Linked DNA regions of Rattus norvegicus. The protein of the gene in region 4 interacts with the protein of the main gene of each other region in a pairwise test. Links are inferred from orthologs where the notes say so. Each region holds a gene or a part of one and is shown on either strand. Other genes may lie near its edges.

What was found.
Region 1: the proteins of Trim54 (region 4) and Ccdc146 interact in binary tests that used the Homo sapiens proteins (3 or more experiments, as listed by UniProt). The two-hybrid records come from large-scale screens. The link is inferred for Rattus norvegicus from reciprocal best matches to the Homo sapiens genes TRIM54 and CCDC146.
Region 2: the proteins of Trim54 (region 4) and Iqub interact in binary tests that used the Homo sapiens proteins (3 or more experiments, as listed by UniProt). The link is inferred for Rattus norvegicus from reciprocal best matches to the Homo sapiens genes TRIM54 and IQUB.
Region 3: the proteins of Trim54 (region 4) and Rabgef1 interact in binary tests that used the Homo sapiens proteins (3 or more experiments, as listed by UniProt). The two-hybrid records come from large-scale screens. The link is inferred for Rattus norvegicus from reciprocal best matches to the Homo sapiens genes TRIM54 and RABGEF1.
Region 5: the proteins of Trim54 (region 4) and Tcea2 interact in binary tests that used the Homo sapiens proteins (3 or more experiments, as listed by UniProt). The two-hybrid records come from large-scale screens. The link is inferred for Rattus norvegicus from reciprocal best matches to the Homo sapiens genes TRIM54 and TCEA2.
Region 6: the proteins of Trim54 (region 4) and Inpp5j interact in binary tests that used the Homo sapiens proteins (3 or more experiments, as listed by UniProt). The two-hybrid records come from large-scale screens. The link is inferred for Rattus norvegicus from reciprocal best matches to the Homo sapiens genes TRIM54 and INPP5J.
Region 7: the proteins of Trim54 (region 4) and Otub2 interact in binary tests that used the Homo sapiens proteins (3 or more experiments, as listed by UniProt). The two-hybrid records come from large-scale screens. The link is inferred for Rattus norvegicus from reciprocal best matches to the Homo sapiens genes TRIM54 and OTUB2.

The regions. Positions count from the first base shown.
Region 1 is NC_086022.1:14,670,380-14,674,155, forward strand, and holds part of Ccdc146 (coiled-coil domain-containing protein 146), read left to right. Parts: intron 1-1,812; coding exon 1,813-1,908; intron 1,909-2,713; coding exon 2,714-2,884; intron 2,885-3,776. UniProt on the Homo sapiens protein: Essential for sperm flagellum biogenesis and male fertility.
Region 2 is NC_086022.1:53,896,633-53,900,418, reverse strand, and holds the end of Iqub (IQ and ubiquitin-like domain-containing protein), read left to right. Parts: intron 1-2,285; coding exon 2,286-2,471; 3' UTR 2,472-3,083; downstream 3,084-3,786. UniProt on the Homo sapiens protein: Adapter protein that anchors the radial spoke 1 (RS1) complex to the A microtubule of outer doublet microtubules in axonemes. The triple radial spokes (RS1, RS2 and RS3) are required to modulate beating of the sperm flagellum.
Region 3 is NC_086030.1:32,117,499-32,121,274, forward strand, and holds part of Rabgef1 (rab5 GDP/GTP exchange factor), read right to left. Parts: intron 3,517-3,776; coding exon 3,350-3,516; intron 1-3,349. UniProt on the Homo sapiens protein: Rab effector protein acting as linker between gamma-adaptin, RAB4A or RAB5A. Involved in endocytic membrane fusion and membrane trafficking of recycling endosomes. Stimulates nucleotide exchange on RAB5A. Can act as a ubiquitin ligase.
Region 4 is NC_086024.1:30,975,534-30,979,932, reverse strand, and holds the start of Trim54 (tripartite motif-containing protein 54), read left to right. Parts: upstream 1-1,457; 5' UTR 1,458-1,641; coding exon 1,642-1,809; intron 1,810-4,399. UniProt on the Homo sapiens protein: May bind and stabilize microtubules during myotubes formation.
Region 5 is NC_086021.1:189,172,649-189,176,891, forward strand, and holds the start of Tcea2 (transcription elongation factor A protein 2), read left to right. Parts: upstream 1-1,177; 5' UTR 1,178-1,256; coding exon 1,257-1,325; exon of another isoform or gene 1,326-1,445; coding exon of another isoform or gene 1,446-1,556; intron 1,557-3,977; coding exon 3,978-4,040; intron 4,041-4,243. UniProt on the Homo sapiens protein: Necessary for efficient RNA polymerase II transcription elongation past template-encoded arresting sites.
Region 6 is NC_086032.1:82,606,087-82,610,332, reverse strand, and holds the start of Inpp5j (phosphatidylinositol 4,5-bisphosphate 5-phosphatase A), read left to right. Parts: upstream 1-1,435; 5' UTR 1,436-1,477; coding exon 1,478-1,582; intron 1,583-3,106; coding exon 3,107-4,246. UniProt on the Homo sapiens protein: Inositol 5-phosphatase, which converts inositol 1,4,5-trisphosphate to inositol 1,4-bisphosphate.
Region 7 is NC_086024.1:128,308,491-128,312,819, forward strand, and holds the start of Otub2 (ubiquitin thioesterase OTUB2), read left to right. Parts: upstream 1-1,372; 5' UTR 1,373-1,569; coding exon 1,570-1,572; intron 1,573-4,329. UniProt on the Homo sapiens protein: Hydrolase that can remove conjugated ubiquitin from proteins in vitro and may therefore play an important regulatory role at the level of protein turnover by preventing degradation.

The DNA.
Region 1 (3,776 bases), on a different chromosome or scaffold from region 4:
GGAATGTATGGCCGTTGCCATGGGTGACTAAAGTCACTGCTGGAGGTGAAAGCAGTTTCTGATACCAACACTTGCAACTCAGAACAGCAGCGAAAGTTTAGATAATAAGGTCAAAGTTGATCCCCAGCAGACTGTGGTAGATGAAGTTCCGCTCGCTACCAACCGCTCGTCTTCTCAACCTTTCCCATAAACGCTGGCTATGCAATTCTGAAGAAACTAGAGGGTGAGTTTTATAAGAAATTTAACCAGAATGCAGCAGATGCACGTGGAATGGCCCACGAAGAAGATAAACATACGCGCATATCGTGTTAGAAGAGCGCAAGCCAAAAATTAAGACTGAGTACAATTCATGGTGATGCTGTCCATACTTCACTCAGAATGGTGGAAAGAGTCGAAAAGAATTAGCTAGGAGCTTTTAGTTGATAAACTAAGTAAGCGTTTGTGATTTTCTGTCATTGTTTTCTAAGATTTCCTGGTCCCGGGTAGCACTCAAGGCCATGACCTGTGGCCTGAGGGAGGAGAGCATGGAGAACAGCCCATCCTAGGTCTGTCTGCACAGGTGATGCTAGTTTACCTCCCCTCCCCCACCCCACATCAGACACATGGAGTCTTCCTCACAGGCATCTCGCCTCGCCCGTGAAGTCTTCCTAAGTACTCAAGGCTGCTCGAGTTTCCCCTTTGCTTTGATCTACCCTCATCTGTTCATCGGAAACATGAGAGTTTATAGTGTTATATGAATTTCACAAGACCACGTCTTGCTTCTTGACAGCTGTCTGTCATAGGTGAGGCCCTGAGAATCGGGAAGCACTGGCTTACAGATGGTGAACGGGGCAGCCAAAGATCCTGTTAGGTGACATTTAACCACCAAGCAGGCTCTTTCCCAGTTGTGCATACTGGCTTGGGTACAACCCTAGTGACTCGAAGAATGTTGTCACCAGAGGAAAAGATTCACGTCAGGTCATTTGCTCTTATAATGGGGTCCCAAGTAGGCAAGTAGGCCTTTAGCACCCCAAGATGACCCTTCCACAGCCTTGGATTCTGCCTTTCTTCATTAGCAACTATGGGATTCCTTATCAAATACTTTCCCCCCAAGTGTTTCAGCACAGGACAAAAGTACACACTAATACGGCAAGAAGCATAATGGCAAAACTGTAGCTTTTGGAAGCAACAAAGGAATTAAACTTTTTCTTTGAAGAATTTTACATGCACTTATCTAAGTGCCACATTTAAGTAGTGAGCTATACTCCCTGGTAACCAAGAACTGCGTTTATTTGGCCTGTAAGGTTGCATAAGTGAATGCAGACTGGGTATATAATACCCTCACACGAACAGTCCAACACACGCAGGTCCCTCGGTTCCTGAACCATGAATTCAAGAGGCAGCAGGGTGTGCTAGGGAGATCACAGGCTCTCTGGCTGACGGCCTGGGTTTGCACCTGCACCAGTGAGGAAGGAAGCTTGCCTTTCTCTTCTTCCAAACCCCTGGATGCCTCATGCCATTTGTGAGGGATGGATCCAAGCCCTCAGAGCCCTGCAACATACTTAGGCAATGGTCAGTGAGCGTTAGATATTAAGATTTATTTAGAAAGGAAAAACCATCTGTAGCTAATCAATCATGTATTTCTGGTAGATCTTCATACTTTTACTTTGCACTGACTTTATAACCTATTCTGGTTATTCCCTATTCTCAAAATTCCTGTAAGATCGGGAATCATGATTTGCCCGCCATTTTAAAAATGTATGAAATGGGGTTGGTCCCTAAGCACCAGACGTCGTTTTCATAATAGCCTCCTTTTTAAATGTTGATTTCCAGATGGAAGCTATCCCCAAAGAAGACCTTTTATTGCCTGAGCAAAGGAAGGAGCTCCACAAAGAGGTTGACCTGGCTAAGAGAAATCTGGCTCAGCAGGTTAATATCAGTCACATGTTTATCTCAGAATGGAGAATAAAATGGTGTCTCAAAAGTGCTCCCTAAAACCACGTCAGAAAGAGAATGCTAAGGGACAGGAAGTGGCAGGGAGGGCGGGAGAAACTGGGGAGGCAGAAAGTATCAAATGATGATTGACGTACGTGTATACGGGAATGCCACAGTGGAACCCATTCATATTTATAATGATATAAACAGATAATACAATATGCATTAATATTTAGAGTAAAAGTATGATGTTACAGCCCTGCTTCCAATGGCCGATTTTTCCACTGGGGAGGTTTACTGAGGGTTGAGTGCAATGTCCAAGCCCGCTAGCCAAGTGTCGTATATCCGTGAGTATACACACACCACCCTCACCTTCAAGCTCATTCCCACACTGTTTTGTTCGTTTGTTTGTTTCTGAGAAGAAGGGAGGATGTGTTTGAAAGGACAAAACTTTCCCGGGCTATGTTTCTAAAAAAAAAAAAAAAAAAAAAAAAGGCTGTTGGTTGCATAAAAGTCAACCTTGTTTCCCCAATGTCTGATTTTAAATTCCAAACTTTTGTCAGCCAAACTACTGTGGAAGTGTTTTAAAACATATTTTTAAACTCCTCCTAGTCATTTAAAAACACAGTAAGGAACAGGGTTGATGGCACTACCCCACTAGTTTCCACCCTTCATAAAACAAAGGGAAACAAACTTGGGGCTTGGCCTCTTAATAAACTCAAAAGGAAGAGGCTGGGCTCCGTGCAGACCTTTCTGGGCTCCCTCAGAAAGCGAATTCTCACCCTGTGCTTTTCAAAAGAGATCTCTGTCAGAAGCCGAGGCCAAGTTAGTCGAGCAGCAGATTGCGGAGGAAAACAAGCTTTTAAAGGAGCAAGAAACTATGCGTGAGGTGCTGTTCAACCTCGGGCGAATGACTCAGATCAAAATGGAAGAGAAAGAACAAAAGGCTAAGGACTTCCTGAAATCCCAGGTAACCGCCCTGTTATGGCTGCCCGCTAATTACTGCGCAGGCGCAAGCGAGCCTCCCCTTAACGGATTATTCATTATAAGGTGGTAATTCCACATCACATTCTTTCAAAGTCAGTGACAACAGAGGACACTCAGTCATACCCTGGAAAACTAAGCCAAACCAGGGGAAAAAAAAACAAAAAAACAAAACAAAACAAAACAAACAAACAAAACCCTCAGTATCCAGTTATCCAAAGTAGGTCTAAAGGCTAAAGAGAAGCAGCAGCACAGTAATCAGAGATCCGAAAGATGGCAACTTCAGTAAGAATGAAGTGAGTGTCCCTGGTGGCCATGAGCCACAGAGAGAATCTGCAAGTCACAGAGCCGCAGATTCCAAGGTGGCAACTTAGGATCGGAGCATTGGACGAGTAATCAGACAGCATCCCATGGACCAGTGCCCGATGCTCTTAGCTGCGGCTTCATCCCAGGATCACCCCAGACTCCTGCAAAGGGCCACAGGCAGCAATCATAAAGCAAGCATACGTGTACATGCGCGTGCACGCGTGCGCGCGCGCACATACACACACACACACACACACACACACACACACACACACACACACACACACAGCAGAAGCTAACATTTTAAAACTAGACTCAGGGGGCTGGGGATTTAGCTCAGTGGTAGAGCGCTTATCTAGGAAGCGCAAGGCCCTGGGTTCGGTCCCCAGCTCCGAAAAAAAGAACCAAAAAAACAAAACAAAAAAAAAAAAACTAGACTCAGTTATTCCACAAAAGGATTGTGTCTAGAAGTCCTTTGTTTAAAGTAAATAAAGGCCAGGATACAGTTCAATGCCAGAGTGCTTGCCCGTGCGAGCTTTGATCTCTTGCCAAACAAACAATAGAAGTATGTG
Region 2 (3,786 bases), on a different chromosome or scaffold from region 4:
AATTCTATTCATAACTTGGGGAGTCACACACATGGGATTCCACTCTTCCATTTGCTTCCACCTAACTAGGAGAGATGACAGCACCGCAAACCGTGACTACGACTTCATTTCAGTAACTCATAAGATGCTATCTGTAAAGCATTCTGATGAATAAAATTGAGGGGGCCCTGAATTATTCCTGAAGCGCTCCATGTACAGCACGTGCAGGTCTCCAAGAGCCGGCCCTGCTTTTCTCCCAATTTATTATATTGCAGAACCCTTAATTCCATCTAAGATGCCTCTAAAGGAGACAAAAGCAGTGGACCAACCGCAGCCATTTTGAACAGTGCTGTCCCAAGATGCTGCTGCTGCTTGTTTATTAAGGAAGGTGAGGGAGTGATATAAAGGGAGGAAACTGGATACAGTTTTAGCCTTTCCCAATAAATTTTGAGTTCCAAGAAGCCAGGCTATGAAAACGTTCTCTCTAGGGACTGAAAGAAAGCGCAGAAAGAAATTGAAACTGTGCTAAACGTTATATTTAGTAAACTAAGCCACTGCATAAATATTTAATCGCTGGAAGCACAGCCAATACTAAGCAATATCATTTCATCGAGGACCCACAATGAAATTGAAGTTCATTCCCAAGGCTGATATTCCGGTTCTTCTTCAATTAATCCGCACAACTCCTTTGTGTACCTAATCAAATCACTGCACTCTCAGATTAAATGCTTCATTCACGTGCATTTCCCGTCTCAGGACACCAGTCGCTTTTCATTTCTGCAAGTGGAGTAGAGGCTCTCGTCCTGACTCCAAACCTTTGCTGCTCTCCAGGGTCTCCGGTTTGTGCCTTACTGACCATTCCGTTCTGAATAGTTCAAGTCTTTGCAGCAAATCAAAGCATTTCCAGAATTCTCTCAAAACACAGACACATCAGCCCCCCCCCCCCCCCCCGCCCCTAGAAGCAACAAAAGAGCAAAGAGACAAACACAACAGCAACAACAAGAGAATTTGGAATGCTCAGAACCAGGGCAGTTGTACAGACCGACAGTGTGTCGGGGATGGGGAAGGTGGTGGTGATGGTAGGAAGTGTGTGCGAGCTCCAGGCTGCAGCACACCACCCTGTCGGCCTTTGTCAGCTATATATATGTATGTATATAATATTATATATAATACTGAACCCTGAACCATTGCCAAGACTCATCTCAGATACCTCACTGTTGCCCAGAGTCAGGGTAACACTACTGCTTGTTACTCAAGGTGTCCAGGGGCAGGTTTTATGCAAATTCCCAGCTGCTGTATACCTCCCCACCCTTGATGTCTGATGCCCCAAGGCTGGCTGGGCTTGACTTTTGTGCTCGCAGGCTGAGGGATGTAATGTTTCCCTGACCTTTCCCATTGGAGTTCAAGGCCACTACACAGCTCCCTGTTGGTGCCGATAGCCCCAAGGCTCGCTGGTGCTTTGTGCTTGCAGGGATGCAGTGGAGACAGATACAGATTCAGCATTCTCTACCGCATGCAGCTCTGTTCTGCCGTCTTCCAATTCTGTGAGCCCACTATTAAAAAACATCTCCCCATAAAACTTGCCGCCACCACCACCTCTGCCCTTAGTTGTTTTGGGGCTGTTGCAGGGCTCTGCAGACTGACTCATCACCCTTCAGAGACTCCATGGGTCTCTCAATCCTCCTTGAAGCATGAGATACATGAGTCTTTTTGAGAAATTGTCTTAACATGCTTTCCTGTAAGCTTTGCCCAAATGTATGTATGTATGTATGTATGTATGTATGTATGTATGTATGCATGTCTGTATAGGCATGTATAAAATTGTTGCTTGTTTCATGCCACTGGAATAAAACAGAAACCTGGGTACATCCTACCCCATACCAGGCAATTACTGTAAATACAAATGGAGGAGAGAAAGAATAAAGAAAGAACTAATAACAACAGTAGTTTGGAATGAGAGAGACAGGGGGAGACAGACAGAGAGAGAGACAGAGAGAGAGAGAGAGAGACAGAGACAGACAGCGACAGACACACAGAAAGATACAGAGAGAGAGAGAGAGACAGAGACAGAGACAGAGACAGAGACAGAGAGACAGAGTCAGACAGATAGAGACAGGGAAAACATAGAAACACTGAGTCCTGGTAGACTTGAAATTGAAGCATCACAGAACCTAAGCTCTGAAAGATAAGAGACAAAGTGAGAAGAAAAGTATCCTAGGTTGAATAAAGATGCTGAGACATGGTCATGTTTCATCTGGCAAAATATGTATGTATGGATTTTCAACTTCATTTTCTTTTATTTGCAGGGATATGGACGCCTTTTTATTCACAAGATCAAGCACAAACATATCTTGGCTAAAAACTATTTTTCACAGGTCCCAGTGCTGGCTTCACTTATACTTAAGGATGATGAAATAGAAGCTATCAGAAGTAAATACTCCACAGAGAATCCTCCTAAAATCATAGTACCCCATGGGATTGTACCTAATTAGAGTCAGGAATGTTGATTTGATGATGAGCATTTTTGTTCTCTACGAAGAGAATAATACAAAGGTCATGAACAAGGAAAACCACCTATGAATTTTTATTTCTATTATATATTTTACTCACAATATTTTGTTATATGAAGAGAAAACATCCGTATACAAGAACCCGTGTTAGGTGGTTTGGAGTCTATAAATTTGATACTAAGATTAATAGTTAAAGAGAACACTTTTATTTTTATCCATTTTCATTTGAGGAAAAGTGCTCTATAGTCAAAATACATCAGTGAAACAAAACCTTGGCTTAATCTTCTGTGAAAGTAATTTACTTATTTAACATATATTTTATGAGTATAATCACTCTATACGTAAGCCTGTATTTTGAGATAAGTAGTTGAATATTTTACTTTTATTGTCTACTTTTACCTGTTAACTGCATAATACAAGAAAAGAAACTGTAACAGATAAGCATAAATCTGCATCGCACGCCATGAAACAAGGCAAACAGTGGAAATGTCACGTTACATGCTTCCTCCGGGGAAGTGTTGAGATTCTGTAAGAAGCATAAACTTGATAAATCAACTGTCCACTGCTTCTCAATAAAGTAAGCAATAACTCTGACTCCATATCTGTCTGAAATATGTGGCGACGATGACATATCCAAAGGTGGCACACCCAAAATAGCATGATTCGAGAAGAGCTTATTTCCAGAAAGGCCCTGCTCCAAGACATATGTGATGTAGGGAAACAGAAGGAATCCAGGGCCACGTTTCAGATATACAAAATCTGATGGAGAAGCCAGGGAACCCAGAGAGAATGGAAAGGAGATAAGTAGGTCACCGAGAGGACTAGCAACCAGCCTGCAAAATTTGACCTCATGGACTAGAAAAGAAATCCTCAGTCTCACACCCCTCCTTTGCACCTACTACCTTCTCCATTTGGGACCAGAGGAAAAGATTCAGAGTTTACATGGCTCTAGAGGGAAGGGAAGCAGAGTTAATGGTTCAACAGACATGGAGAGCTAAATAGAAAGCACTGGGAAAGAAAAACAACAGAAGGTGACGATATAATTCAAACTAGCACACCTCGTGTCAATAGAACTATAAAGAAACACATTTTAGTCCAATTCTATGTAGATGGTGTTCTTTCAAGTCTAGTGATTAATACATTCATTATAAATATTTACTCTATAAATGTTTAATATTTGAGCAACACGTACCTAACATATCTACAATTTTTCCTTACATGGCTGTCTTAGTTTGGGCCTCATTGCTGGAAAAAGACTCCATGACCAAGGCAACTTTTGTAAAAGACAACATCTATT
Region 3 (3,776 bases), on a different chromosome or scaffold from region 4:
ACAAAGAGCCATCCCACTGAACACTAATCCCCACTGAACATTAATCCCCACGTGCCAACATTTGGAGGTTTGTACTGGCACTGCTACGAAAGCTGCAGAATTCCTAGGTGTTAACAGCATGACCTTCCAATACTGAAGACAAGGCGGAGCGTCTTCTTAAATGTTTACATTAACATGTACTTAGCTGTCTGGCTAGTGTGTAAATGCACACGTGTGTACTTAAAGTTTGGGCATGCACATGTTGCCGTGCACCTATGGAGGTCAGAAGACACTCTGGGGATTCCGTTTCTTCTTCCTTCTATTACCTGAGTTCTGGGGGTCCATTTAAATTCCAGTCATCATGCCTGAAGGAAGTGCCTTTACCAACTGGGCCACTGTGCTGGGGCAAAGCCAAACTTTGGAATTTAAAAAACTAGAGTTTTTTTTTCATACAATTATATTTTGATCATATTCTTTCCCCTACCCCAAAATGTCTTAAAGAAAGAACAAGGAGAGTGAACGTGAATCCTGGCCTCAGCCCCGTGTGGATCACCAGAATTATACAAAGATATCCCAGACAACAGATTAGAAGCACTTCGCTGGCCAGATACGCTTCAAGGAATTTGCTCCTTTAGATAAAAAAAAACAAAACAAAAAGGCCCGTATATGCTGTCTGTCTGTCTATGTATATATATCAATAATCCTATCTAGAAGACAAGAAAGGGTTTTAAGGGGGCTATCATTGCTCATTTTGCCTTTAAATTACCCTAGAAGGGCAGTGGGGCTCTAGAAAAGCAGTCCCTTGCCAGCATCACTGCTTCCTTTCAGTCTCTCTCACTGTTTCAGACTCACTGACCTAAGTCCTGAGCCCTGAGTCAGGGCTGTGAGACTGAGACATAACTAAATGGCTTCCCAGCCTCGCTCTGAGCCTCTTCAACAAGCTCACTGAGAGAACACTGAGCCTTTGATTAGATTTATTTGTTTTAATTTTATTTTATATGGATAAATATCTGTATGCCACTTCTTTGCCCAGGGACTGAGGAGACCAGGAGAGGGCACTGGATTCCCTGGAACTGGAGTTGCCACATGGGTGCTGGGAATCAAATCTAGGTCCTCTATATGAACAGCTAAGCACAAATCACTATGCCTTTAATGACTCCTTTATACAGCATTTTAAACATCCTAAATTTTATTTTCATTATTGTGTGTGTGTGTGTGTGTGTGTGTGTGTGTGTGTGTGTGTGTGTGTGTGTGTGTACAGGTGCCCTCAAAGGCACTGGATCCCCTAGAGCTGCAGTTACAGGCACCTGCCTGACAGAACTTGAGTCCTCCACAAAAAAAAACAAGGGCCCTAACTACTAAGGTATCTGTCCAGCCCTTAAGTATTATTTTAAGAAGAGATGAGGGCTGAAGAGAGCCTCAGGCAGTTAAGAGCACATACTGTCTTTCAGAGGATCTAAGTTCAATTCCCAGCACCCACATCAGACAACTCACAACCACCTGCAGCCCCAGCCCCACAGGGACCCCTCTCCTCTTGTCTCCTCGAGCACTGCACGCACATAAGATAGATGCACACAGTTTCCTGAAAACTTTGGATTTTTTTTCGAGACAGGGTTTTCCTGTGTAGCCCTTACTTTCCAACTCACTGTGAAGACCAGGCTATCTTTGAATTCAGAGATCCACCTGCCTCTGTCTCCTGAGTGCTAGAATTGAAGATATGTATCACCACTGCCCAGCTTAAAACATTTTTCAAAGATTTATTTATATATTTTACATATGTGAGTACACTGTCACCCTCTTCAGACACACGATTACAGATGGTTGTGAGCCACCATGTGGTTGCTGGGATTTGAACTCAGGACCTCTGGAAGAGCAGTCAATGCTCCTAACCGCTGAGCCATCACTAGCATTTTTTAATGAGGAAAAGAAGTAGATACAGCAGCTAGGAAATGCTCAGTCAATAAAAGCACAAGCACGAGGACCTCAGCTGAACTCTCAAAATTCACACAAAGGCCAGGCATAGTGGTAGAAGCCTGTAGTCCCAAGCTTAGGGTCAGAGACAAGAAGATCCTGTGATTCAACAGCCAGCCAGTCAAGCTGAAACAGGGAGGTCTATGACACCCTGCTTAAAAAAATAAAGGGAGGACAGGCTGGAGAGATGGGTCAGCAGTTAAGAGCACTGACTGCTCTCCCAGAGGTCCTGAGTTCAAATACCAGCAACCACATGGTGGCTCACAACCATCTGTAATGGGATCCGATGCTCTCTTCTGGTGTGTCTGAAGACAGCTACAGTGTACTTATATACACTAAATAAATAAATCTTATAAAGAAAATAAGGTGGAGAAGAAGGGAGATAGGAAATGTCACTCTCTGGCTCGCACACACAAAGTAGATGAATGAGGAGGAGCTGGTGGGACGGCTCAGTGTTTAAGACAACTCACTGCTCTTCTAGAGGACCCAAGTTCGAGTCCCAGAACCCACATGGCACCTCACAGCCGTCTGTAACTTCAGTTCCAAGGCATCTGACACGCGTTTCTGGCCTCTGAGGGCACCAGGCACACAGTGGTGCACAGACATTAAGCAAACAAGGCATCTACAAACATAACATTTTTAAGAACAAACACAAATCCATCCACAAGAAAATACACTTGCCTAGCAAACGCAAGGCCCTGGGTTCGGTCCCCAGCTCCGAAAAATAGAAAAAAGAAAAAAGAAAAGAAAATACACAAGAGCCCCAAATGAGTCTTTTCCTGTCTGTTTCCTAAAAGTATAAGAAATAAGCTTTAAGAGAGAAAGGCTCTCAGGAGACTTTCAAGTTTAGAAACAGCTTCATCTCCTAAGTTATGGACACAGTGGGTATTACACAAGGTAAACAAACAAGGATCAGAAAAAACAAAGCATGAAAAATATCAGACAAAACCATCAAGTAGCCGATGATGAACAGTTTGGATGAGCGTGTTTATAAAGTATCTTTATCAACACAGCTACATGTTTCAATTCTCTTTAGTACTCCTGCAGGAAAAAAAACTTCTTTAAAAAAACAGTGTCTCGGGGTTGGGGATTTAGCTCAGTGGTAGAGCGCTTGCCTAGGAAGCGCAAGGCCCTGGGTTCGGTCCCCAGCTCCGAAAAAAAGAACCCCCAAAAAAAAAAAAAACAAACAAACAAACAAACAAAAAAACAAAACAAAACAGTGTCTCTTCAAGTCAAAGAGAATATTTCTTCACATACTGCCTGGCCATCAAACTCGATTTCCATGTTAAATCTGGTCTAGAACTTTCTTGGGCTTACAGAAGCGGAAGGCTGAGCCCACCTGCCTTCTAGATCTAACCTGCAGCTTACTCAGGCCTGGAAGAAGAAAAGAGAAAATTACCCTTCTTGGATCCAGCCCTGGAAGAGGCGCTGAAGAACTTCTTCACTGTGGTGACTTTGCGAGTTTTCTCATTGGTTTTCTTCTCCTCAAACTTGGAGAAGGTGAGGGACTGGGCTCCTTGGCTGCTCTGGCTGCTAGCGAAGGCCTCTTCCTCCTCCCGCTGAAGTCTGAAATCAGAGGGAAGACTGAATGATCTGGATCCTCTCCAGGTTTTCCCAGGGTCTAAACGATCTTGTTCAAACTACTGAGAAAGATCTGACTTTAAAACAGAAACTAAACATACCACATGGGTCTGAGGCCTCAGGTACGTGGCTGTAAGGTGGAATTCTATACCTGGTGAAGATTTCAGTACACAGCTTTAATCCCCGGTACCCCACAGCAAAACAAGCACGCTTTGTATACAGAATTACCTGTCTTCCTGGGAGGC
Region 4 (4,399 bases):
TGGTGGTGGCTTTGGCAGTGTCCTATGACCTCTCTGCAGAGCGATTCGCTTGGGTACAAATAACTTTCCAAGATGCAGAATTTTTCCAGTCAGATCCATTTCTCAAAACTTTTTTTTTCTTTTTCTTTATGTGTGTCTGTGTGAGCATCTGCATGCATGTGTCCGTGTAAATGTCTATGTGCACGTGTCTGTGAGCCCATGAAGGGCGCTGAGTCTCTTGGAGTTACTATTACAGATGGGTATGAGTGCTGGGATTTGAACTCCAGTCCTCATGATTGAACAGCAGGCTCTCCCGGTCACTGAGGCATCACCAGTCTATGCTTGTTTCAGGTTTAAGCAAATTTAGCATCCTTGCAATGGACTAATGTAGTTGTGGACCAGAATCACACGCTCTCACGTCATAATCCTAAGGCAGGTCTGGGCCTGGTACAGCAGCCACCTCTTGCCTTTGAGCTGCTCTCCTAGGATGATGCCACAAGGGCGAGCCAAGGGCTGGTGACGTAGCCCAGTTAGCAGAATGCTTCTCCAGCATGCTTGAGACCCCGAGTTGACCCCCAGCACCACATAAATGGGGATAATGGTGCTTTCCCCTCAACCCAGCACATCGGATGTAGAGGCAAGAGGATCAGGAGTTCAAGGTCATCCATGGCGAGAATGAGTTCAAAGCTAGCCTGTCCTACTCAAGAACCTGTCTTTAATAAGGGAGAAGGAAGAGATTGTTCTCTGGGGAAAGCCACTTGTCACCAGTTCTGAGGACCTGAGTTGGATTTCTGGCACATGCTGCAGAAAAAGAATTTTCTTTTGTCCTGTGACTTCCACTTGTGCTCCAGGTTGCACCCACCATTCCCCCTAAGTAAATAAGTGTAGGGTTGCTTTTTTATATAAAGGCTGGGCAAGAACAAATACGGGGCAGACATATGGAACAAGATGTTCTCTCTCTCTCTCTCTGGTCTGCCGTTCCACTTCTGAATCATGGAGGAGGGCCGGGTCACTGGCTAAGCCTGTAGAGGAAGCGATGACGCAGTCTACAGGTCTGTCCAGGTCTTGCCCCCCACCTGGGCCCAGGTATGGCACCTCTCCCACAGGCTAGTTTACACTGCGTTTCTGTTTGGAAGAAGGTCCCAAGCCAGAGCACGGAGACCAGTGTTCGGAGGAGCCTTTTCAGTGACAGCGATAGAGCCCCACACGCCACTGGCCACCCATTCCTGACAGTCATGGCCACTCAGTCTGGGACAGCTGTGTCTCGCCTTACATGAGCTAAATTGGGAACTGGAATGTCACAGCGGTGCCCCTGTGTCCCCACCCCCACAGTAACATTAGTCTCTCTCGGGAGGAACAAACAGTGCTGCCCGCAGAGCGAGCAAGAGGGTGGTTTGGGGAGACAGGAGGAGAATCTCACAGGGAGAGAGAGATAAACTACAAGTGCCTGGTGAGGGTTCCGAGCAGACAGAGTGTCTGGAAATAGCCCAGGGAGAGAGGAGCTGTTAGAGGAAGGGACAGGAAGCACCGCTCTTTCCAGAGGGAGCAATATCAGGGATCCCAAGAATCTACAGTCAGCCTAAACTGACAGCGGAAGGGCGCGCAGGCAGGGGGAGAGAAGGCCAGCAACAGGGCCACAGCAAGGCACCAGAGCACCGCGGGATGAACTTCACGGTGGGTTTCAAGCCGCTGCTGGGGGATGCACACAACATGGACAACCTGGAGAAGCAGCTCATCTGCCCCATCTGCCTGGAGATGTTCTCCAAGCCCGTGGTGATCTTGCCGTGCCAACACAACCTGTGCCGCAAGTGTGCCAACGACGTCTTCCAGGTGGGCTGGGACAGGTGGGGGACGGTGGGGGACAGGTGGGGGTCGGTGGGGGACAGGTGGGGGACAGGTGGGGGATGGTGGGGGACAGGTGGGGGTCGGTGGGGGACAGGTGGGGGACAGGTGGGGGACAAGTGGGGGATGGTGGGGGACGGTGGGGGACGGTGGGAGTCGGTGGGGGACAGGTGGGGGACAGGTGGGGGATGGTGGGGGACAGGTGGGGGGTGGTGGGGGACAGGTGGGGGATGGTGGGGGACAGGTGGGGGATGGTGGGGGACAGGTGGGGGATGGTGGGGGTCGGTGGGGGACGGTGGGGGACAGGTGGGGGACAGGTGGCGGATGGTGGGGGAGAGCCCACCCCTGGGAGCCGGTGAAACTGCCCTGGCTGAGAGGCAGGAGAGTTGAGGGTCCCAGAGTAAGGTCCCAGAGTAAGGTCCCAGAGTCAGCATGAGTCAGCAGCTACCCTGAGGCTGGTAAGCATAACCTGTGTCTACAGCAACTAGAAAGTGGGGTCCACCCAGCACAGCAGAAACTGGAAAGGAAGATCGATGGTCTCGCATGGGCTTAGTGGGAGCTTGGACTAGATTTCATTCATTTTGAGGCTTTTATATGTATATGTATATACATATACATATACAAACACACACACATATGAGAGAGAGAGATAAATTTTTTTAAACAAACTCTGGAGAAAAGATCAAGGATATATTGAGATCTTTCTCTCTCTCTCTCTCTCTCTCTCTCTCTCTGTGTGTGTGTGTGTGTGTGTGTGTGTGTGTGTGTTAGCTAGTGTGGCTACCAGACCTCAACTTGAGTTTGATTCCCAAAACATAAATGATGGAAAGAGAGAACTGACTCACAAAAGTTGACCTCTGACCTTCACTTATATGAACACAGACAGACAGGCGCACACACACACACACACACACACACACACACACACACTTTAAACAATAACCTGGTGTGGTGGTGTATGTATGCCTGTAATTCGAGCACTTGGGAGGCTAAAACAAGGGGATTGTCATTGTTTGGTTTTGTTTCTGAGTCAGGGTCTCTGTAACCCTGGCGGCTGTCCTGAAGCTCACTATTCAAACCGGGCTGACCTTGAACTCACAGAAGATCCTCTTGCCTCTGCCTCTCTCGTACTGGGATTAGAGACATCGCTGCCATGCTAGCAAGTGTCACCTTATTTACATAGTGAATTCTGATCCAACTTGGGCAACAAAACAAGACCGTTTCAAAAAGTAAATAAGAAAGAGAAAACTAAAATTAAAAATTGTTGGGGCTGGGGATTTAGCTCAGTGGTAGAGCGCTTACCTAGCAAGCACAAGGCCCTGGGTTCAGTCCCCAGCTCCGAAAAAAAGAACCAAAAAAAAAAAAAAAAATTGTTGGTAAACCGGTGAGAAATCCTTCCATACCAACAGAACTGTGTGTATTTGAGGCAGAGCCCTCTGTCCCTGAGGGGTCTGATAAGACACAGTGGGCCACAGCAGGAACATTCTCTCCAGTTTCACACCGGTGATCCTTCCTGACCTAGTAGGAGATAAATGGTATCCAGGCGACTTACAGACAGACAGACAGACAGACAGACAGACGGCAGAAACAAAATTGTACTTCCCAGAAATGCCTGGGTGTCTGTGGTCATGAGGCCAAGCATAACTAGGTGAAGTCACAGCACTATTTTATCTACACATCTCCAACGCAAAAACAGAAGAGCTGAGCACGGCTGCAAACCCAGCCCTTGGGAGGTTAAGGCTGGCTTGGGCTGCATAAGACGCTGTCTAGCCAACTAACTAACCAACTAACTAACTAACCAACTAACTAACTAACCAACTAACTAATCAACTAACTAACCAACCAACCAACTAACCAACCAACTGACTAACTAACTAACCAACTAACTAACCAACTGACTGACTAACTAACCAACTAACTAACTAACCAACTAACTAAATAAATAAACCAGAGTCCTTTATAAGTTCCTAGGCTTGCCTCCTGGCTCTGTGTCTTGGTAGAGGTCTGAGTAGTTTATGACTGCATCAGAGGTCAGGGAGAATGAAGGAACAGAACTCACATGTACAGACACCGGACCTCACAGATGAAGTAACCTGGATTCCTCAGAGCTGGCTCTCCTGGTGGGCAATCTGTGATGGGAACACCAGGAATACACTTCTTGCCAGGAGCCAGCCTGGGATCCAGCGAGGAAGGAGCACCACAGGCTGGAGGCTAGCCTGCTCTATGTAGCAAGTATACCTGTATACCTGTAGAGTAAGACCCGTCTCAAAAGAGGAAAAGATAACTGTCTGGGGCTGAAGAGAGGACTCGGTGGTCAAGAGCATTTGTTGCTCTCCCAACCAACCCAAGTCCAGTTCCCAGCATCCACGTGGTGGCTCGCAACCATCTGTAACTCCAGTTCCAGGGGCTCTGATGCCCCCTTCTGACCCCCATGGACACCATGCATGCAGGCAAAATACATACACACAACATAAATCTTTAAAGTAGAAGAGTAAGAGTTCTCCCTCCTTATCACAGTGTGAGGAAATGAGTTGAGCACAGATTCCCCTCCCCCCTCTTCCTTCCTCTGGTGCTGTGG
Region 5 (4,243 bases), on a different chromosome or scaffold from region 4:
AAGCATTAGTTCAGTACTCAAACACAGGGTTCCCTCTCTCAGAATTTGTTTAGTTGGGTTTAGCTTAGAGCAAGGGCCCAGCGCCCAGGAGAGGGCAGAATAGGAGTTGGTATGAAACTAGAGAGCTGTGTACACATATGGAAAAGCTTTGTTACCTACAGGAAATTCCATGCCTTTTCCTTATGGTAAAGATGTCATAACTGATTGAAATGGTCAGCCCAAGCCATTTGTATATGCCATTTGCACTCTGCCCTCCTGGCTACTGTGGGTACAAAAACTCAGACACTGACTTTTGGTACCAGCACACCTGCCACCATCTATAGCACAGAAGAGGAGCAGAGTCTCTTTCTCCCTTTCCTGGGCATGGTTATGGTCTTCCTGAGGTACTGCCTCGGTACCTGATTGCCTCAGTACCCTCCCCTGTTCTCAGTGTATAATGTGAATTGGATGACCCTGACTGAAGCCTGTCATTGTCACTTCACAGGTTGGGAGACTGAGACATAGAGCAACGTGCAGAACTTGGGGTTTGTATTGTTAGGCTGACTTCAGAACCTGAATAGGTTTTTGTTGTTGTTTCGTTTTTCTTTAGAGACAGGGTTCCCCTGTGCAGCTCTGGCTGTCTTGGAACTAGCTCTGTAGACCAGGCTGGCCTTGAACTCACAGGGATCCGCCTGACTTTCTGCCTAGAGTGCTGGGATTTAAAAGGCATGAGGCTCTATTGCCTGGCTAAAGCCTGAATTCTTGCGGAGAAACCGTTTCAGAGTTCCGGGCCATCTGCGCAGAGGCAAGAACGCCCCAAACTCGGCTTGGTACCAAGTGAGGTGAGTGAGTCGTCCCACTCCCCACGCGCGTCTCTGAAGTGGAGTAGATCAGTGGAGGCGACCGGAGTGGATCAGTGAAGGCGGATGGGCCGCCAGGGCGAGCGGCTCCGATGGGTTGAGGTAAAGACCGGAGCGCAGCAGGGTAGTTCTCCCCGCTCCTCTAGTTCCACCCTCTCCCTGGCATTCGGTTGGCACGTGGGGCCGAGTTCCCGCGGAGGAAGCTACGGAACTACCTTTTCCAGGGGCCCGCAGGCCGCGGGCCGCGCAGTCGTCTGGGAGTTGTGGTCCCGGGGGCGGAGACTCTTTTTTTTTTTTTTTTTTTAATTGTATTGCACGCGGCCGCCAGGCGGAGGTTTGGACCGCGGATCTAGGCGGCGGCGGCCGAGGTCCGGCCGGGCGGCGCAACCGGCGCAATCCGCCGCCACCGAGGTAGTGATGGGCAAGGAGGAGGAGATTGCTCGTATCGCCCGGAGGCTGGACAAAATGGTGACCAGGAAGAACGCGGTGAGGGGCGCGGGCCGCCAGGACCCTGGGGCCCCGCTCCGTGGACACCGTCTGAATGAAACCTAGCCCAGGCAGTCGAGACCCCTTGCCCAGGCCCGCCCTCCACCCTGCCGCTTCGCTATGGACGCCACGCTGACCGAGAGCCGCCCTCTGTTCGTCGCCCGGCGGTGGCCGCGGGCGTTCTTGGCCCAGCCGTTGTCTCCCCTGTCTGCCCCCACCCTTCAGAACCAGGTTTCTCTAATAAATTTTTCCCCTGCTTAGTCAGGCCTCAGGCAACAGCAAGTCGGTTTGGGCAGACAGTAGAGATTCCGAGTCGAGCCTGTGGCGTTGAGACCTGAGGAGATGATGGCCCCTCGCCTGGTCCCTAGCCAGTGTGGGTTCGGCAGTCCAACCTCCGACCCGCGTAGTTTTGGGAGCATCCTTAGGGGATGATGGCACCTGCATCTTGCCTTCCGTGGGTGGGAAGGGACGAGGAGGTGGCCTTAAAACCGAGTATGACTCCAGAGCATCCGCGGCACCGCTCCTAGGGCAGCCCAGATAGTGGCTGAGTCATGAGTCTTTTCCTCAGGACTGCTTGAAGTAGAGGGCTGCGGGATAGCTTTGGGGGATGAGCAGGTTTGCTCTGAGGGTTGCAGGGTGGGGGTCTAAAGCAGGAAGCAGGTTAAGTTCCCATATATGCCTTTACACTGGAAACAGAAGCCGCCTGGTACTGCTGGTGCTTCTTTCCGGTAAGGGCGTTAAAACACAAATGACAAACTTGGAACCGAGGGTGGCAGAGATGGGGTTGGGATCCATAGGGAGACACAATAAGGATGGAAGGCCACAGATAGGACTAAACAGTTGAGAAGGGAACCTGCAGAGGTCCCAGTAACCTGAGAGGTTCCTTGGAACAGCTGGTGGTTTGTTTGGGCTTTTCTTGTGGGAATGCAGGGCTGTTGTGGATCAGTGCCCCTGGCTCTAAGGATCAGGTCTTCTTAGGAAAGTCAGCCACTTGAGGGCTGATTGCTGTACAGCCCGCCTTAGGGCCAAGATACAAGGCTGCAGGCTGAGCAGGTAATTCTCACAGATTGAAGGGTTAGCCCAGCCCCTACCACTGCCTCTAGTAAGGATGGTTTGAATGGCTGGGTGGGCTCTCCTTGCTTTTTTTTTTTTTTGTGGCTTGTAAGACAAATGAGCTCATAGTGGCAACTTGGAGGACAGCAAACACAATAGTGTTGGGTGTTAGAAGAGTCTGTCTCAGTTGTAGGAGTAAAAACTTGAAGTGGTAGAAGAGCAGCTTTAAACAGAGTTGGAGGGTTTAAGGTAGGACAAGAAGAGCCTGCCTACCCTTGAGGTTTGAAGAATGGAGCTTGGGCAGAGGAAGAAAATCAGGGTTGTCTGTTACAAACCTAGGAGGAAGGTGGTGGTTAGTTTGAGAAAGAGATAAGAAGTGGGACTATGGGATTTGTAGGTGTTAGCTTTTAAAAGAAAACTAGCATCCTTTCCTTTGTATATTTTAATTTAATTAATTTTACATTTGTTAGCGTGGTGTGTGTGTAAATATGAGGACGACCCCTGGAAGCTGGTTATCTCCTTCCACTATTTGGGAGCTGGAGATTGAACTTAGGTTGTACAACTTGTTGGCAAGCGCCTTTATCTGCTGAGCCATCTCACCTGCCCTCTTTTTTGATACTGGGTATTGAACCCAGGGCCTTAACTTGCCAAGTAAGTGCTTTACCACAGCTGTGTCTAGATGGCCCTCTCTTTACTTTGTTTTAAGACAAGGTCTCATTAGGATTCCCATGCTAATCTTGAGTTCACTCTGAGACTCAGATAAGCTTTGAACTTTTGATCCTCTTGCCCCAGCCTCCTAAGTATCTAAGATGATAAGGCCTGTGTCACCAGGTTTGGTAGTTTTCAATTAGCAATAATTGTGCCTCTGATAAACCTCATTGGCTATGGTGCTGTAACTTTGCAAATCTGGCTAGAGCAGAGATTCCTGAGAGTTTAGGTAGAGAGTTTTAGGTAGGGACAGGAAGAACCTGCCCACTCTGGAGGTGCAGCCTATCTGCAGATGCTGAAGAAAAGCCAGGGCAGAGGTTTGTCTGTTACAGTGCCCGGGAATAGTGCCACACTGATGGCTAGGCACTTTGAGGAGAGCCTGCTCTGCCACCATGGCATAGGTGGACTAAGGTTAAGGAACCTGAGTGTCCTTCCATGTCGAGCAGGAACTGGGGCTTTTCTTTTTCTCTAGTAGCTTGTTCAGTGTCCTCCTGTGGTTACCATGATGTCTGGAGATCAGCATAGATGCAGGGTGAGAAACCACCTGATGTTTGAGGACAGCATGGTCGGGCTGTTTGTCTCTATCCTTGCCCTATGGCAAGATCAGTAAAAAGCCCCTGCTGTGATGTTGGAACAAGTATGCAATGCTCTGGGAATCTCAGTTGTCCCACATGTGATCAGAACGAGGTGGGGTTGTCCACTAAGCCTCCCAACTAGTGTTCTCTGTGTAGTCCTGACCATCCTGGAACTCACTCTGTAGGCTAGGCTGGCCTTGAACTCAGAGATTCACCAGCCTCTGCGTCCTGAATGCTGGGATTAAAGACATGTACCACCATTACCCAGCATCCACTAAGGTTTAAAGTCCTTTATGGATGTCCATTTTCCTTCTAGGAGGGAGCCATGGATTTGCTGCGGGAGCTGAAGAATATGCCTATTACATTGCACTTGCTCCAGGTAAGTGTTTCTGTCCTGATTTAGGATGGTTCCGGAGACAGCAATTCCAGGGGCATCCAGCAGGGCTCCCTATGGCTTAAGTACCACCTGGCATAACTGCCACAAACAACTCTTCTAAGGAGAGGATTTCTGATTCTCTCTGGTGATCAGGGAGGTGGGAGGTAGGTACCCTGGGTTCCAAAAAGCCATTGGGAGAGATGTTT
Region 6 (4,246 bases), on a different chromosome or scaffold from region 4:
ATCTCTCCAGCCCCATGACATTGAATTCTTGATTCTCTTGTCTCTACCCTCAAGTGCTGGGATTATAGGCTCAACTCTTCTCATTTCATTCATTCATTCATTCATTCATTCATTCATTCATTCCCTTGTACCTGTTAGACACTAGACTTTCTTTCTCCTCCTCCTCTTCCTCCTTCTCCTCCTCCTCCTCCTCCTCCTCCTCCTCCTCCTTCTCCTCTTCCTCTCTCTCCTCCTCCGATTAGTGCTTTGCCTGAATGTCTGTGAGAGAGTCAGATCCACTGAAACTTGAGTTGCAAGTTGCCATGTGGGTGCTGGGAATTGAACCTGATTCCTCTGGAAGAGCAGCCAGTGCTCTTAACCACTGAGCCATTGTCCAGCCCCATTGGGTTCTATTCTTTAAGGTTTGAATGCCTAGTGTACTTTTGGCTTGTTTTTAGTTTGGACTTTTTGAGAAAAGTCTCCCTATTTATCCCTATCTGTCCTGGCCTTGAACTCACTCTATACCCCAGGTTAACCTCACCCCTTAGCCAACCTCCTACCTTGGCCTCCCCAGTGCTGGGGATACCCTATGTGTCACCACCCTTAGCTTTGAAGGCTTATTTTGAACTCTCCTGCTGAGTCCCTCTCCTCACGCTACACCGTTCTCTTCCCCAGATTTTCTCTCCCACATACCCCACTGATTCAAGGTGGTCGGATCACTGGGTTAAGTCACTGAAACTCAGAAGATCTCCTCAGTTCATGGGGTGACCTTGACAAGTGCCTTTCAGAACCATCACCAGTGAGTGAGTGTTAGAGGGAGAAACTGGGACTGGACTGGGACCGGCTTATGTGTGGGGACATCTGAGGGCACTGAGATGTCTGCAGAAGAGGAGGGGCTGGCAGAGTTTGAAAGGGAGAAGGCTCCGGTGGATGGAGCCTGACTGTCTGGTTTTGGTATGGGAAGAATAGAGCCAGACAGGGATAAGATGGGGGTGGGGGTGGGGGGAGAGTTAGCCCAAGGCTTAAAAATGGGGCAAGGGTGGGGGCCAAGACAAGCCCTGAGCTAAACAGAAAGTTAGGAAAGTGACAGGGCAAGGCAGATGTCCCTGAGGCCATGGAGAGGAGGCTGCTGACCTCTGAACCACCTGTCCCTGAATTACCTGTGGGTGAGCCTGGGCCCCTCCCTGGAGCAAGGGTGGGCCTGGCCTACTGTCTGGAGGGTGGGGCAGACAGGTGGTGGGGTCTCCTTCAGAGTTCAGGAGGGCTAAGCTGATGGGTGCTTATATTACCCCAGACGCTCTGAGATCAGCAGCCAGCTCAAGTGCTCCTCAAGGGTAGCCACTTAGCACTTGCCACCTTCAGTATGGGAAGTGGGTGCCTGTGCCTTTAAATTCTCAGCAGGTTGAAATGGCTGATGACATCACTGGTTCCTGGGAGCTGAGGAGCTGGAGCCAGAACCCAAGGGAGCCAGGCTGGGCTGCCGGGGTCTGCTGCAGACATGGAGGGCCAGAGCAGGAGTGGTAGTGCCAAGTCGGGGACCAGAACTGGACTGGGACCCTTGCCTGGGACCCATGGGGCTTTGCAAACTGGGACACCCTCGAAGGTAAGAACCCCTAAACCCTAGCTAGCCCCCATTCCTGATTCCTAGTCTCACACTCCCCCACCACACGCACTCTGCAGGCACCCTGGTGCCCCTGGCTAAGGGACTGGTACTTTTCTGTGCCTGCCAAGCAGAGGCTGGGCAAAAAGGTCACGCTGGAGGGGCAGTAATGGGATGCCCATAGAGAAAAGGAACCAGCCACAGCCAGGAGTCCCCCAGAAGCACTCTGGATTGGTTGTCAGAGGACCCAGCTGTTCTCCAGCTCTGCTGTGTGACCTTGGACAAGTGGCTTGTCCTCTCTGAGCCAATGCAAAATGAGGGGGCTTGTGTCTGAAGACTAGAACTGTGACATCTGGGATGTCTAAGTTGTTAGTGCTGGAGGCGGTATGGTGCTTGGGGGGGAGGGGGCACACAGTGGGACACTTGGAACCAAGGAGAGTATCCAAAATGCTGCCTCAAAAAGTGGAGTTCAGGGAGGGAGGTGGAAGTAGAATTCCAGGTTCTCTGAACCGAGAAGGACAGGGACAGAGACTGAACTGCATCTCCAAAGCAGGATGGGGCCACCCTGGGGCGAGCATAGACCTTCCTCCGTCCTCCCTGGCAAAGGATGCTTTCTCCTGTCCTCTGGAGAGTGGGAATAGCATAATCAGAATGGACAAGGCAGGTGTTCTCCCCCCTGCCAGGTATAAAGAATACCCATTTGCCTATCCTCACAGGTGGAGAAAGGACAGGCAAGATAAGAGGGCACAGTCTGGGCAGAGAGAGGCGTGGCATTAGACCGCACTGACTGGCCAAGGAGGGTGGGCTTACTCTCCAGCATTCAAATCCCAGGAAGTGTTAGGCTCAAGTATGGCCCCTTGCTCTGAACGCACACACTTTAGGATGTGGTATGGTCAGGGACCCTTCCAACAGCGCGTTAATTTTACAGATGGGAAACAGTCTGTGGGCTGAGGAACATTTGCTTCAAATCCCAAAGCTGGGATTTGACAGTCTCCATTGCCAGCTCTTGACCCTGCATGGCCCACTGGGAATGGGTCAGCACAGGCAGGACTGTGACCAAGGGGTCAGGAGTGGTGGGTAGAGTGTGAGGGTCACCTGAGGGACACTGGAAGAAAGAACATGGAGGGACTTGGGGTGTTTGAGTCAGCGCCCTCTGTAAGAGGAGCGGCAGGGGCTGCCGTGAGAGCTGCCCTGGAAGCTTGTCAGGTTAAAGCGGGAGTAGGTGCCAGCCAGGAAGGCTAGGAGAGCACTCAGATTCGGGCTCATGCTCCACTCAGCCTATTCAGGGTTTCAGTCTGTCCGTCTGTGAACAGGGTTTCAAGATTAATATGGAAACATGACTTTTGTATCCTTTTGTATCCTGTCTCTTCTGAGAAGGAAACTGACCTGGAGCAGAATGGATTGGAGAGAGAGCAGGCAGGCTTTCTTTGGAAGGATCTGCCCTAAGCTGTGTCTGCTGAGGGCTAAATGGAAGTGAGGGCTCAGCCCCTTGCTAGAGTCACTCTGAGTCATCTATTTGTCCTCTAGAAGGTAAATTCAAGTTTTCAGCTTCCAGCAAAGAACACGGGCCCAACACCCTCAGAACCAAGATTGGCCCTGGCACCGGTGGGACCACGAGCAGCTGTGTCACCTCCTTCAGAGAGACCAAGACTGGCTTTGTCATCTCCCCGACCCATCCTAGCTCCACTGTCCACCGCTGGCGAACAGAAAAGACCTCCACCTCACCGCAGCTCCAAGCCGGCTCCCACGTCTGTGGGCCAACTGGTAGTATCTGCCGCTGCAGGACCAAAGCCTCCGCCAGTCGCCTCGGTCTCAATCCTGGCTCCGAAGTCTCTGGGGCAGCTAGTAATATCTGCCTCTGCTATGCCAAGGCCTACTCCGGCTCCTCTAGGGCCCATTCTATCACCAACTTCCAGGGATCAGAAGCAGTTATCACCCACCTCTGTGGGACCTAAGCCAGCATTGGCAACCTCAGGCCTAAGCCTGGCACTGGCCTCTCAGGAGCAGCCCCCACAGTCCCCCTCCAGTCCTTCCCCTGTGCCCAGTCCCGTTCTGTCACCCTCTCAGGAGAGTCACCTGGCTCCAGCAACTGTGACATCTACCCCAGCTTCCGAGAGACAGTTGCCAGCTAGACAGAAGGATACGGCAGTTCGCAGGCCCATTCCCCCTGCAGACGGGTGTCTCCATACCCCAGTGCAGGCAGCTGGTCTTGCCACCTCTCCTCCAAGGGCCCAAACTTCCTCAGATCCTCGGCTTTCCCCCTCCTTCCGCGCAAGACCAGAGGCTCCGCGCCACAGTCCCGAGGATCCCGTCTTGCCGCCGCCACCACAGACCCTGCCCTTGGATGTGAGCTCAGGCCTTCCAGAGTCTGGCACCCGCTCCCCTGGACTTCTGTCCCCTACCTTTCGGCCAGGAATCCCTTCAAACCAGACTGTGCCCCCACCTCTGCCCAAGCCACCTCGGTCTCCCAGCCGCTCCCCTAGTCGTTCTCCCAACCGCTCTCCCTGTGTGCCCCCAGCCCCTGAGGTGGCACTCCCAAGACCTGTCACCCAGGGTGCAGGGCCTGGCAAGTGCCCAAGCCCTAACCTACAGACACAAGAAAGCCCAGTCGCCACCGCCACCTCACCAACGTCTTCTTGGTCAGCTCAGCCTACCTGCAAGAGCGAC
Region 7 (4,329 bases), about 97 Mb from region 4:
CTCCACGTACCTGCACTCACACACATACCCACATTCAGACATCCACACCCACACATATGCTGCTAAAATTCCTTCCTAGGGATCAGATATGTGCCTACTCCTCCCAAGGTCTCAATGACAAATCAAAGCACAATTCCACAAAAGTTTACTTTGGGGAAACAGTGAGTTTGTTGGGCTTCCTTACAGAGCATAGGTAAGGGATTTGAGACAGGGTTTCACTGTACGGTCCTGAGTGTCCTGGAACTTGATCTATCAGTCTGGCTTCAAACTCAGAGTCCAGTCTGTCTCTGCCTCAAATGCTGGGATTAAAGGCTTGTGGTACCACACCCAGCTAATAAGAATAAACCTTAAAAAATAATAAAGTGGAAAGAAATAGGGGAAGACACCTAAGTTTACCTCTGACTTTGGCATATGCAGCACAGGTACACACACACACACACACACACACACACACACACACACACACACACACCCCATACAATGAAAAAATGCACTATGCTTGCCTCACTCCAAATGTACCAACCATCTTGGCTTTGCACCACAGAATATTGGGGGTGTGTCTATTGTCTTCTTTGGTGGGGCTGACTGAGCCTCAGTTTTCTGAGGTTATGAGAGTCACCTGTCATTAGCTCAGGAAAAGAGCCAAACAGTGTCTATCCAACATTATCGTTTTTTACACCGAAGTGAAGTAGAACCATCTAAGTCCCAGAACCTACTAAAATAGTTATGTGCTATATACAGGAGCCCCACACAGCACTCAAAATAACTCCTTCAGGGGTCAAGGGCTGACAAACAAACCTTTTAATAATATTTCCTCTTTGATGTCCAGTAATTATGAGCTTGTATACAGGGTGACTCACCTACACCTGGTTCAGTATTGTGTTTTCTACACACCCCTACAGCCACAGAGCCACGCTCAACCATCTCGAACGTTCATCCATTCAACAGATATTACCTGAATGCCTGTCTGATTCATGAGTTACAAAGAAGTAAAATATTATTTGTTGCTAGACAGCAGCCGGCAGGTAACTTAAATGTCTGACACTGGGCGCGTATTTCCTAAGCGCGTGTCTTCTGATCTTGAAAGAAATACACTTATGTATGTGAACTCGTTGATTAATTAACGAGGGCCATCTAATCTTCCAGATGCCTTCAATTTGCAGTTTTAGTTAAAAGTCCTTCTGTCTTTGCAAACCGGACCTGCTTTCTGGATTGGGCTAACTCCTTTGCTAGCTAAAAGCACTCTGTGTCTTTAAAAGGAGGGCGGCCTCCTGTCAAACGGGCCCCAAAACATAGGCCGAAGGCGAGTGCAGTCCCACCCACTTTCTGTGACGTCCCGCGTCCGGGCTTCTGATTGCGGGCCTCCGACGTCAATCGCGGGCCGTGCGTCTTGCTGGGACACAGTGGAGGTCTGCGCTCCGGTCTGAGGGGCGGTCGGGTGTATTCTGCACTCACCCCACACCCGCGAGGCCCGCGCCGCCCGACCCAACGGCGGAGCCGCCCAGCGCCTCCCCTGGCACCCGCTCGCTCCTCGCTGGAGCGAGACGTGGCCCGACGGCTCCGGTCACTATGGTCAGTGGTGGCGGGACGGGGAGGGGGCGCCGCCAGGGCGCGTGTGCGTGCGCGCGGTCGGGCGCGAGGCTTTAGCCCTTTCCACCCTCGGGATGGTGAACATCGGAGTGCGCCCGCCGCGCTATCCCTTCGGGGACCCACAGCCAGAAGATCCAGCCCAGGCTGAGCCCTGCTGCCTCGTGGCCACTCTAGGTGGTCCCCAGACACCTCCTTTAAGTCCTGATGCTTATGCCTGACTGGGAAGGAATGGGATACCTCTAGGGTTGTGGTCTCTACTCTTTGTTAAGTAGCACTCGTGTAGACAGCTTGCAGTCCACCCATCACAGACTTAGCCACCACAGACAGACCATACCCCAGCCAGTTGTCCCCAGGGACGAACGATCCGACCACCCGGGCAAGCCTTAATACTCCTTGATGTAAACTCAGTTTCCTAATGGCAACAGGTCTGTAGAGTCAGGACACATGAAGAGGCAGCCCCCGGTTGTGAAAGATGAGTTAGGAGTCCAGGCAAAGTGATTTAGAAGAACTTCCTAACAGAGGAGACCCAAGAAAACCTGGGCTGGTCAAACCCGGTCAAACCCAGGGCTTGGGCAAGTGGGGAAACTGAGGCCAGACAGGGAGAAAAGAAAGCTGGTAGGGATTGTGGTGGTGCAACAGCTAGGACTTGGACCCAAGCCCCTGGTCCAGTGTTCTGTGTTGCATCAGCCTACCCTCCAGGTTGCCATGGGGTCAGGCCTCCTACAGGGGATTGGATATGCTGGTTAGCCTATGTTATTCAACTTCCAGCAAAGGGCTCCAGGGAGCCTGACCATCTAGTGCTACTGGTCAACTTGGGGTCACTTAGTTCTGGGATTGCCTGCTCTTTCTGTTTTGTTTGGTGATGCTGGGTTTTGAACCGTTTTTCATGCATGCTAGATAAGGCTTGACTGCTAAGCTACACTCCAGTCTACTTAAGTCTGGGCTATCCCAATGGTTATTATGAGGAGTTGGGGTGGGGGGTGGCAGGGAGTGCAGGGGTGGGGAGATGGGGGGGGAGGGAGTGGCATGGGTGGTGGTGGTGGTGGTGGATGTGGTTTTCAACTAGGGTGTTTGAAATCCAGAGATTGGGTGGTGCAGGTGCCTGGTTCTTTGTGCTTGCCCCTCCTCCCACATTTGGGTCACTACTTCGGGACACTGTGAGGCTAGGGCCAGAGTCAAACCTGTGCTGGTATGGATAGACAGCCAGGGTATCTTCTTACAAGTCATTCTCCTGCCCTGTGGGGGAGGGGTGCAGTGTGTGTGTGTGTGTGTGTGTGTGTGTGTGTGTATCTCTCTGTGTGTGTCCGTGTGTGTGTGTCTGTGTGTGTGTCTGTGTGTCTGTGTGTGTGTGTGTAACTCAAAACTGGGGACGGACTGTAAGCACTAGTTTCCTGCTTGTTCTTGGTAACCCAAGGGTTTACTTGCTCTGCTGCTCTTGGAAAGCGGCCCAGGTATTTCTGCATTACCTGCCAGAGAATCGGGCTGTTGAAATGACAGTTTTAGCCACGCAGAATGGAGAGAGGATGGAGGATGGAGGAGGCTGTGTAGCTTCTGGCCACCAATGGTGGGTAGCAGATAGCAGACCAGTGCAGTAGGGACTGGGACCCCAACTTGTGTCCCTTACTGAATAGCTGGATCTGACCTGAACCCAGGAGACCAGCAGCTGGGACCCAAAGCAACTTCCCTCTGGGGAGTTTGGGTGCCTTGGAGAGGGAAGGGGAACAGGAGAAGAGAGGAAAGAGAGAGGAGAGGAAAGAGAGAGGAGAGGAAAGAGAGAAGAGAGAGAGATAATAGTTAAAACCCACCAAATAGGACATCTGCCTGGGAGTCACGAGGACAGAACTAGATGCTGTTTACATTGTGTTTATTATACACCCACTGTGTATTCGCCACCTTGTTAAGTCCTGAGGCCCATGGCTCATTTACCTGTAATGTGTTTAATGCGTTTAAATGTTGGCTGAGGTTACATGGCATGGGTGGTAGATGCAGTCTTAGGACTGACAGAATCTTCCTCTGTTTCCATGTCAGTGCCAGACAGAAGCCATGGAGTCCTTGGGAGTCAGGGCTGCAGACAGTGAGGGGCTCACCCTCACTATGTGTGCGTTTGCTCTTGGGGATGAGTGAGTGTGAGTATAGGCAGTCCGGGCACCCGTTCCTGTCTGCCTTCTTCTCTCGTGCATTAAAGAAACCAACGCTGGCATCCCCAGCCTATTTTGGGGCAGTGATAAGAAAGAACGACACCTGCCCTCTCCCGGAGTTCATGCTCTTGGGCTGGGTCACAGCTCCTGAATTACTGAGATGGCCTGAGAGCCCAACAGGGGCCTTGCACAGAGGAGCACGGTACCCTTCACCCGTAGGAAAAAGCTGGTGCTCAAGGTTGTATAGGAACATTCAGGAAGGACTGGCAAAGAGTACATTGCAGGTAGCAGGGAGATTGCCTTGGGACATGGTCAAGTGTGGGCATCCTGGGAAGAGTAAGATTGGGGGAGGCTGGGGGGAGCCCAGGGCAGTGAATCTGGGACAGGGGACAGGATCAGGGCTTTGCATGGGGGGCGGGCTGTTTAGTTTGGGTTGTCTGTACATGAGGGAACTGTTAGCATTTTTGACGAATATGGAATGGTTGCTAGCTCTGTCTGTCTGATGCTGGGTTGTGGGTGGCCAGCTGGAGGGAGAGGCAGGCTCGCTCATTCAGCATGCTTGCCGGTGCTACTGCAACAAAACCCTTCCGTGGGCCAGATC